Linked DNA regions of Caenorhabditis elegans. The protein of the gene in region 1 interacts with the protein of each later gene in a pairwise test. Each region holds a gene or a part of one and is shown on either strand. Other genes may lie near its edges.

The links.
Region 2: the proteins of F11G11.4 (region 1) and sop-2 interact in a two-hybrid assay, tested with the Caenorhabditis elegans proteins (one large-scale study listed by BioGRID).

Annotation. Positions count from the first base shown.
Region 1 is NC_003280.10:4,858,795-4,862,296, forward strand, and holds F11G11.4 (uncharacterized protein), read left to right. Parts: upstream 1-1,799; 5' UTR 1,800-1,902; intron 1,903-2,256; 5' UTR 2,257-2,280; coding exon 2,281-2,539; intron 2,540-2,680; coding exon 2,681-2,808; 3' UTR 2,809-2,902; downstream 2,903-3,502. Other genes in the region: F11G11.5 (Membrane protein BRI3), read left to right, coding at 1-53; nspd-5 (Nematode Specific Peptide family, group D), read right to left, coding at 1,351-1,566.
Region 2 is NC_003280.10:12,337,989-12,345,309, forward strand, and holds sop-2 (Polycomb protein sop-2), read left to right. Parts: upstream 1-1,955; 5' UTR 1,956-1,957; coding exon 1,958-2,047; intron 2,048-2,383; coding exon 2,384-2,450; intron 2,451-2,667; coding exon 2,668-3,163; intron 3,164-3,934; coding exon 3,935-4,280; intron 4,281-4,641; coding exon 4,642-5,517; intron 5,518-5,568; coding exon 5,569-5,631; intron 5,632-5,646; exon of another isoform or gene 5,647-5,700; intron 5,701-6,146; coding exon 6,147-6,422; 3' UTR 6,423-6,807; downstream 6,808-7,321. Other genes in the region: sre-52 (Serpentine Receptor, class E (epsilon)), read left to right, coding at 1-105; C44C11.6 (Transcriptional regulator), read left to right, coding at 6,846-6,878, 7,164-7,298. UniProt on the Caenorhabditis elegans protein: Polycomb group (PcG) protein. PcG proteins act by forming multiprotein complexes, which are required to maintain the transcriptionally repressive state of homeotic genes throughout development.

The DNA.
Region 1 (3,502 bases):
GTGTCCCGTGTACCGTTCAAAATCGATGCACTCACTGTAATCGACTCGCTTAAGAAGAAATTTCAATTTATATTTTATCCGCTGTAGTATTATTATTTCCCCCTTCCTACCAAGTAGACATATTAACTGTTCCATACCATAATCAAAAATTGTAAAATTAGTGAACTGTACTGGTCACGAGTGTGTTTTTGTGTTACCGTTTTATGTTTAGTATTTTATGCAACGAAGTCAGTTCAGATACTGAATTCATCACTCTTCCTCCCCCTTTTCCCTCGAAGCCTTATTCCAAAACCCATTCAGATTATGCGTGTCGCTGTGAATATCATTGAAACAATTGAAATAAAGATATTACCGATTATCTAGAAGTTTGATATGAGTTCTCCAAAAGAAAAGTACCAGGTCTCGCATCGACAGATTTCATTAATTCCGAAAAAACGTGCGCCTTTGTGGAGTACTGTAGTTACGGAATTATTTCGATTTTTCCTGGTTTTTCGCCAGTTTCTTAAAAATTTATTGTTTTTGTAAATATATTTTTCAAAGAAACGGGTGAAAGTTTATGGAACATAAATAAAATCCTACAACAACGAGGAGTTGGGAACTACAGTACTTCTTAAAAGCGCACTTGAGAAAAACAATCGCTTCGAGACCAGGTATCGTATTTTTGAGGCAGGAATCGCGAAATTGTTCAAAACCTCGCAATTAATTAAAAATCAATTTCTCGGGACATTATGAAATAAAATAATTTTTATGAAATAAAATTGTTTGAAAATTTATGGAACATCAGATAAAATCCTGCAACAACGAGAAGTTTGGAACTACAGTACTCCTCAAAGGCGCAGACCCGTTTGCATTTATTGATAAATTTGTCGTGTCGAGACCGGCTACCTTGTTATTGGCTGTATAATAAGCATGATCTTTCAAGCCGGTTACTCCTGCAGTATCAAAACCATCCATCAGCCACAAGAAAGCGGACTTACAAAGGAACAAAATTGACAGAAAGCTAAGAAACTGAAGAAAGAAGAAGAAGGTGCTTATTGAATTAAAATTCTTTATTTATTTATATATATATTTATTTATTTATATATAAATTATAGTTTTAACAAAAACATTTCAGTTATCAATCCCGAATTTTACTAGGGAGAAGACTAGGTGAGGACAACGAATTTGGGCCGGTGTACGGAGCACCTACCAACAACAGAGGAGAACTTATTGCTGTTGAGAAAACAATTGAGAAAGTAATTAACATTAAAAAACAACAAAAAACGAGCTAAGAAAAACTATTTATTGGGCACAAAAGGCCAAAGAAAGTTGCATTTCTGTTGGCTACTGGCTCTTCTAGTGTCGATCATCTTATGGTCCAAGGTAGCACGATTGGTCAGTGCGGGCCTTGAAGACCTGTCCACCTGGGTTGGTGTTTCCTCCGGAACCCTGGTTCTGCTGTTGTTGTCCACCACCATTTCCTCCTTGTGCATAGTCTTCGCGGGCATATCCCGACGACGAGGCATTGGATCCCATGTAGCCTGATCCATAGCCTCCAGCGCCCATGTAAGCCGACTTGTCCGCCATCGTTGTCTTTCGTTTGGGGTTATTCAGAGAAACTTGCTCAGAATACTGATTGACTGAGGTTTTCTGCCCCGTTATATAAGGAAAGATCTAGGACAAAGATAAGAATATTCCACGGAAAGTTCACGCCGTCTACATGAACTTTTCAAATTTGGAAATTTCTTTTAAAATTAAAAAGGATGAAAAAATAAGTAATTGAAAATAATTAATAAATCCAGTGACATTCTAAAATAAATAATTTAATCTTTATTATTTATTCTCACGTGTTTCCTTATTCAAAAATTCATTGCTTACAACAAAGTATTCAAAAGGCGCCGGTTGTTCATTGAGCTCTAAAAGGTGAGTATCCTCGAAATGGTTGGGAAGATGTTTCTCTCGGGCAAGTGGAGGCTGAACGAAGATCTTCCAATCTGTGGCATGCTCTGATGTTCAACTTTTAGCCATTTGCTCAAAATTAGCAGGCTATACGCTTCGTGAGATTTTTGGAGAGCCATACGTAACTATATTTGCTAAACTTTTTGGAGTTAAGCTACAGTACTCGCAGATACGGTGGATGAGAAGGTGCCACTCTTTTTATGACTTGTTTTGGTGCTAATTTAGTACTACTTCAGACTAAGAGGCCTCAATTAGGTGCGCGTTCAGCGAGTCTCGCCACGATCACAGTCGAAGTTCTCAAAATTATCCGTATTTCAGAGAAACAAAGGGCATAAAAGGAAAATGGCTGATGACAACGTCTCATTCACGGATGCAGGTGACCCAACACAAGGTGCTAAACCTCAAGGAGGCTCATCAGCAATGCTGGATCTGCTCGGAGCACTGGACAAGAAGGAAGAGAAGAAGAAGAAGGATAAGAAGGGCAAAAAAGGAAAGAAGTCGAAAGGAAAGTCAAAGACCAAGAAAGTCAGAAAGGCCGACAAGTTCGAATCGCAGAACTTCTTGTTTCGAATCGAGGGAACCATCTTTTGTGCTGGAATCGGTGAGTTGGATGGCCAAGTCTGCAGGCACGAGAATGCCTATCAGCTTGCCTAGAAGGTGTACGGAAAGTTCCTTGTAGGCACTCAGGCAGGCAACATTGTACCTACACCTAAGGTTTCAATTATACAATTATATTTTTCAGTTGTCGGATTGGTGGTGCTGCTCGTCTTCATCGCAGTTGCAATCTTCTTTAGCGTGAAGGCTGGAGGAAACATGGTGCACTACATTCATCCATGGTGGGGAGGACTTGAGGAATCTTCTGCGAATTGAGAGATGAACCAAAAGAAACGACAAAATGACAAGCCGGCTTATTTTTAAAAGTGTCAATTCTATTTGACACTATTCAATAAAGTATTTATTTATGGCTCGTTCTTTTTTTTGTTATAGTACTCAGTCATGCCGTTACGGCGAAGGCCTAAATGTCTACTGCTAAATGCTCTAAATGATCTGCCTAATAGTTTTCTAATCGAATGAATACCAATATTTCCTCGGCTATCTCTTATGTGACTACATCATGTCTAAATCATGCTGACACACGATCCTGCCTCATGTCTTCATTTCCACATAGCTTCCCCTACATCACACCTGCACCATTTCCACGGTTTTACCTACTTGTGTGACTGCCTGCATACCTGCTTTTCAAAAAACACAAATCCGAAAATAAACTGGATCCCGGCCACCCAAAGTTTAGTCCTATTCAACCAATTTTCTTTTCATTTTCCCGAATGCCTGCCTACCTCCCTGTCTTTTGCCTGCCTACTGTTTTTGGAAAAATCGAACCAAGTTGTCCACAAAAGTTTCTCCGACTGGTAGAATAAAACATTTTATTGCTAATCAATTTTCACTTTTAAAAATATGACAGTTCAAAAATATATTTTAAAACCTGTAAAAATTACAGTTTAAAGTGTGAACTTCATATTTTACGAGAAGGAAAAAATTAACACCTTTCGGCATAGGCAGGCAG
Region 2 (7,321 bases), 7.5 Mb from region 1:
GCTCTGAAGAGCCAACGTCCGGTTTCGTTATCCGGGCAGAATGTGGCACAGGAAACCGATTTCTATTTTAATCAGTTGCAGAACACGTGGGAGTTGAAGAATTGAGATTTTTTGATAATAAATATTTTGAACTTAATTGAAAATTTTTAGTTTTTTGAGTGCAAATTTCAACAATATTTTCAATCTTACATGAAATAACCGTCTGAAAATAAAAATTGAAAAATTATAAAGTCCCTATTTTTATCGAAAGTTTATGAAAAAAAGAATATGAAACATTATTTTTCCTACGTTACTGGTGTCCCCCGGAAACTTGTGATTTTAAAAGCCTTGGCATCTATACAGGGGTGGGCCGCGAAAGATTTTTTCCGGCAAATCAGCAGATCGGCAAATTACCGGAATTGAAAATTTCCGGCAAATCGGCAAACCGGCTAATTGCCGATTTGCCGACTTTGCTGTAAATTTTCGGCAAATTGTGGGTTTGCACATTTTTTTTTGGAAATTTAAAAATTTCAAATTTGATCGGAAAAATTGCACTCATCCTAGGAATGCTCATACATCTATTTTTAGAAGTAGACAATTCTATGAAAATATCTAAAGAAAACGGGAAAACATTTCACAAAGGCACAGTTTTAAGGGTTTCCGTCTTACATAAAATTCCTCTAAACATTTCCGACAAATTGATAACCGGAAAACGGCAAATGGGCAAATTGCCGAAATTGAAGACTTCTGGCAAATCGGCAATTTACCGAAATGAAAACATCCGGCAAACCGGCAAACCGGCAGATTGCCGGATTTGAATATTTCCGGCAAATCTGCAAACCGGCACTTTGCTGAAAATAAAAATTTCCGGCAAATCGGCGAATTGCCGGATTTGAACATTACCGGCAAATCTGCAAACCGGCACTTTGCTGAAAATAAAAATTTCCGGCAAATCGGCACATTGCCGGATTTGAACATTACCGGCAAATCTGCAAACCGGCAATTTGCCGAATTTGTCGACGAAATATTTGCCGAACGGCAATTGCCGCCTTTCCCTGGTTTATACCTCCAAAAATTGAATAATCTGCTATAAGTTATGGTGATGATTGTTATAAACACATATAATTATATAATACACAAAATAATTGGAATGTATTTTTTTAATCCTTATACATATACATATATCCATAAGCCATCCTCTTTTTATATCTAATCAGGGCTTAACTTCTCTTGCACTATTCCCCTTCAATCTTCCTCTCTCCACATAATTCTTCGTCGTCATACAATTCCCCATCATCTCCTCACTCTTTTGCCCAATTGCCCCGCCCGTAAACCAATCATCGTTCGAGTCGACGAGACACTGTGGTGAAAGAAGAGGGTCGGGGAGGTGTGACTGTGAGTTTGAGTGGGGGTGAGCGTGCGCGCATCACACACTCTCCACTGCGACTCGCATTGATTGATTTGGTCACTCGCACTTTTTTGTTTGCTGTTTTCGTTTTTTATTTTTTTAAAATTATTTTAGTGTTTTGATCGAAAATATAATGTGAAAATTAAAGTATTTAAAATTTTATTTTAAAACCATTTTGGTTAAAATTTAGTTTTCTTTTCAAATTTAGGCTACCGGTATCTAAAAGTTTTCTGCGAATTTCTGTGAGATACGAGTTTTTATTGTGAAGATCGGGCATAACTTTTTGGAGTGTCTGAAAGTTGAATTGACAGTTTTTTTTTTAGAAAAGAAACATTTCCAGAATTTTATTGATTTTTTTGTGTAAAAAATCTACCTCTACTTATTTAAAAATTTATTTTCCTTGTGTAATCATTTTTGAAACAAAATCCCAAGTACCATACACCCCCCCCCCCCCCCCCCACTATACGAGCAATCGCGCTCCATCACGAATCTTGACGCTCCCCTCTCAGCGGGAGATTGTTTTATTGAATTTCACTGCAACATACATTTAAATTAATTTTTTCAAAAGAAATGAGTTCAAACTTGACCAGTAATGAGATGTCATCAACATCTGCAATTGTAGAGCCCCCGGAGGCTGTGAAGGGAAATGAAAGGGATAAGGTATAGTTTACAAATTTTTAAAAATAAAAATAATCGTTTCTCCACTACTTTTACACAAAACAAATGATTTATACCCAGCTCAATATTTTTTTAAACTATTTTTTATATTTTATCAAATGTTGCCCAGTTATTTTCCAATGAGATATAGGGGTTAAAAAAAAAGAAACAAATTTAGTAATTATCAACTTCAAAACCCTCTAACTTGCCGGAAAATAGAGATATGGAAAAATTGTTAACTAACACTTTGGAGTACCAAAATTTATCTACATTTTATTAGTTGACAATTTTTTGATAGCTAACCGTCCCAATAAGTTACAATAGTTTTAAAACTTTCAGTCCACTCGACGATCGACATCTCAAGTGGTTCGACCGGAAAAGCACGAAGTTGAAAATGCATTGGAAGGTGAGTATTTTTCAAATATATTATAGAAAAATTAATAATTGCAATTTTGGTGCTCAAGTTATAATATAAACTCCGTTTTGGCAAATTGCCAATTTTCAAAAAACCCCAATTTCCGAATTTCTCGGAAATTTACCAAAATTTTGTAGTTTTTTAAAGCTCTACTAGACCTTCAATTTTTGAAACTTGCTTACAATTAGTGAAAATAATAATTTTTCAGATCAATGCTCATCAAGCAGCTTACCAAAAGAAGCTCAATATTATGCAAAACTCGACAAAAAGCTAGAGGGCAAAGACCCCCGATCTCAGTTCTACGAAGCGGTACGCCTGTCCGCCGACATTTTTGCTCATAAATTCGAAAAAGCCGTGTGCTCCCGCCAAACGTTCGAGCCGACCAACTCCATCATCAAAGTGCTCAACACTGCCGAGGAGGAGATGCTCCACGAGAAGGTTGTCCCACTACCAGTCAGCTCAAAGCTCCAATACTATCTCAACCGGGGACGTTATGATACGATATTCGATCGTGATGAGCAATTGCAAAGGACTGCTGACCCGATGGCCGACGAGCCGGATCATGTGGAGAAGCGGGTGACGAGCATTTTGGAGCAAGCTTCTCGAGAGATGGAAGAAGGGGAAGTCGAGCCGGTGTTCTATGATGGATCTGATGAGGATCAGGAACTTCCGATTGATCTAGGAGCTATGAGAAATCTGCAAAGGTAGGCACTAGAGCTTCAGAACAAAAAATTAATTAGCAAATATATTATTCCCAAAAGCAAAAAGCCCAAAAAGCGCATACATTTAACCAATTTGTGGGTGGTTTTTTATACGCATAAAGCTACGTTCAGGCCGTTTTTCAGGCCGTTTTCAGGCGTTTAGAATTCTTGAACTAAGAAAAAAAATAGATATTAAAGAATGTCGTGGGATGATTGTTAATGATAACAAAACTCAATATTGCAATATGAAACGGACAATAAGCAATATCTGAGTCATGGCGGAAGGGAAAAAAGTGCGATATTTCGCACAACTATCATATGGCCTGGCTTCCAGATTTTGATCATATCAGTCTTTTCCGTGGTCTCATTACGGTTTGATCTACAAAAAATGTAGGAATTTTTTGCTCAAAAATATGTGACGTCAGCACGTTCTTAACGATACAAAATCGGTTGAGAACTCTGCGTCTCTTCTCCCGCATTTTTTGTAGATCTACGTAGATCAAAGTCTTTGAAATTTTTGAGCTTAAATTTCCCTACACTTTATCAAGATAACAAACGCGCCCTATTGCCAACTTCTCGCACACCGACGCCGCCAAGTTTGAAGGTGATAGGGGGGGAGAGTGAGAGGGTGCCAGAGATTCATGTAAACATGGAACGATGTATGTTTTCCCAGCAGTGTGTGACCTTGTGTGTATGTTTTTTGTCGCGCGTTATATCAATTTTTGTTAGCAATGTTTCAATTTTCTGTGATAACAATCAATCAACTGTTTTCAGAACCAACAAGTTCGCGGCTCGCTCGAGCAGAATGGCAGCTCGGAGGGGAGGACGGCCCGGCTATCGTGGTGCTTTCAGAGGTGCAGCTCGCGGAGCACCTTCTAGAAGACCTGCACCAGCTGCAGAGGTGGCTCCAGAGACTCCAGTAGCGGCTCCGATGGCTCCAGCGGCTCCAGCAGCTCCTGCAACACCTGAAGCAGCTCCGGCAGCAGAAGTTATGGACACATCAATTGCCACAGAGATGCCTCAAGAGTCGGCTGTGGATCTGTCAAATGTGTCGGCGGCTACCGAGATGGATACATCTAAAGAAGGAGAAGCGTCCAGACCGACTAGCGAGAAAAAAAAGGTAAGCTTTTTGAAGGCTCGTATCTCGGACGGTTTTTGTTTTTTCGAAAAATTCTTAACTAACAAAATAATTACCGCATTTTTTTACAATTTCGTAGTTGAGTATTTGTTGATAACTTAAATTGGAGCAATTTATAAGCTTTACTTTGGCAACTCGTAACTGAATCTCTAATGCATATTTTCTATTTATTTTTTATTTTAAATTATAGAAAAATTAATTCTAAACATTTTTGCAGTTTTCAAAATTTTTATAAGACAAAAACCAATTGAGATATAAACTTTCAAAGCTGAAATTTGCTCTAAAAATTGAAAAAAGGTTCTAAAAAAAAGGTTCGTGAACAAATTAAAATTTTTTCTCAAAGTTTCAGAAAATCCGCACAACCGAAATGGACCGTCTTATGAGCATGGACTTGGGACCCAAGGATGGTGGCCGAGTCGGCGAACTCGGCCACATGTGGCCCGAATCACGCCGTCGTCCTGCTGCACCCCTACCAGAGACACCTGCTGCTCAACCGAGAAAGTCTCTGCCAAGGCGAGCCGCCGAGAAGAAGAAGCCTGAAGATTCGGACGCCGCTGAGGAGCAGGAGGTTGAGATGGAGGTGGATAACGACGCGAGCACATCTACTCCAAGAAATGCACGTGGAGGTAGAGGTGGTGGCAATAGACGAGGATCGAGAAGAGGTCAGAAGAGGACATCTGGAGGATCGGGGAAGCTCGTGGAGCCAAAGAAAGAGCCGGTCGACGAGCCAGCCGAGAAAATCCCAAAAAGATCCGAGGCAGCTCCAGAAGTTCCAGCTACTGCCACAACCAAAGAAGCCCCACCATCCACCTCCAGCTCCCCACCGGATGCTCCAGCTACCCCAGCCACTCCAGCTTCATCCGACTCTCGGGATTCCCCACGAAAGATCCGGGCGATGATTTTCTCGCTTACCGGATCCCCACCAGAGTCTGAAACTCCGCCAGTTCTGCAGCAAGAGCAGGTGATCTCCACAGCAGCACCGACAGCCGGTCGCCATCCAAACATCATTCAGCAGGTCCCGCACATCAATCGGATCCCGCCACAACCGCTGAGACGTCTCACAGCTCCTCAGGCTCCACCAGCATCCCAGCCAGAAGAGCCTCCAGTTCAGCAGACTGTTCCGGTGGTTAAAGTCGAATTGGCTTCAGCTCCAGCTCCAATCGTCAGGGATCCACAGTCAACGGAGCCAGTTCCACCTGCGATGCCTACACTTGTCGAGGTAACCATTTTCAGAATATGACGACTAATTTTTAATTACAATTTTCTTCAGAACAACCACGAAGCTACGCTCATTTTGCCGCCCAACAAGACATCAGACTACACAAGGTGGAACGTAAGTTTTTTAAGGCTCAGGCTTAGGCTTAGGCTTAGGTGTAGGCTTAGGCTTAGGCGTAGGCTTAGGCTCTGGTTTGGGCTTAGGTTTCAGCTTAAGCATAGGCTCAGGCTCAAGTTCAGGTTCAGATCTAGGCTTAGGCTTAGGCTTAGTATTAGGCATAGGTTAGCCTTAGGCTCTCTCTCTCTCTCAGGTTTAGGCTCTGGTTTAAGCATAGGTTCAGGCTTAGTCTCAGGCTTAGCCTGAGGCTTAAGCGTAGGCTTAGACTTTTGGCTTAGGCTTAAGCTCAGGTTTAGGTTTTGGCTTAGACTTTGGCTCAGGCTTAAGCTCAGGTTTAGACTTAGGCTCAGGCTTAGACCTAGGCTTAGGCTCAGCATTAGGCTTAGGCTTAGGTTTAGGCTTAAGCTTAGGCTTAGGCTTAGGCTTAGGCTCAGGTTTAAGCATAGGTTCAGGCTTAGGCTCAGGCTTAGGCTCTGGATTTCGACTTAACACATTCTAAAACAATTATGCTTCAGGCGCAAGATCTCATCAACTGGGTTCGGCTTCTCATCACCAACAACGTGGATTCCACTATTGCAATTATGGTTCGCGAGGAGTTTGACGGAGAAACGCTGGCCTGTCTTGTGTTGGACGATGATTTTCGAAAAGAGGTACCAATTCCATATGGTCATTATAAGAAGATGAAGATCTATGGGACTGAGGTGCTCAACCATTATCGTACGGAAAAGTATCAAGCTGATTTGAGAAAGTTCCATGAGGAGTTGGCTGCCTGGAAGGCTCAGCAGCGTTAACTCTGTTAATTTTTTTATGTTAATTTTAATGTTAAAATTAATATTTTTGTTGTTTTTTCTGACATTTCAAGCTCTTGCATATTGACTCCTACCGCTTTACCCATTCCTCGTTACCTAATTTGGACCTACTTAGATGATAGAAAACTTTCAGCAGTTTTCTAATTTTTAATAATTTTAATTTTTTGTAAGTTGATTGCAATTTCTTTAACTATTAAATTCCCCTTTGATACTCACAGAGACATGTTTTATATTCTATAATCAATCGATTTTTGTCATAATACCCGTTTTACCCTTATTTTTTCTGTTCACGTTTGCCCTCATGATTAAATGTTTTTCGAGTTTTTTAAATGTTAATGACATTTTGTATATGAAAAGTTAAAAAATATTCATTTCTGGTTTCCACAAAGCGAACGATACACAAAAATGTTAAAGAACGCTGTGAATGCAATGAAAAATGTGAGATTTTTAATTAAAAAATCTCTTACCGGCTGAGCACACGTGGCTCAGTGGGTAACAGGCTTGACTGGCAAGCAGGAGGCCACTGGTTCAAGTCCACCGACCTCCACCGACGTCAGGAATCGAACCTGTGATCTTTTCCCTTAAAGCTGAGCCTCTTACCGGCTGAGCCACTGGCCGCACAGCACCGCAAAAAATTGTCGGCATGGCTCAGTGGGTAACGAGCTTGACTTGCAAACAGAAGGCCACTGGTTCGAGTCCTTGAACTGAAGTAAACATTTTCAGATCGGAAAATCTCGATCGAGAAGTGCAAGTCGCGAGAAGGTGCTCAAAGACTCGGCCGTACAAGCTTCACCATCATCCCGTGAAGCCGTCCAAGTCGTCAAGGCAATCGCCCAACCAGTCGTCGAACAAAAATAAATATTCTCACGTTTTTTATTACT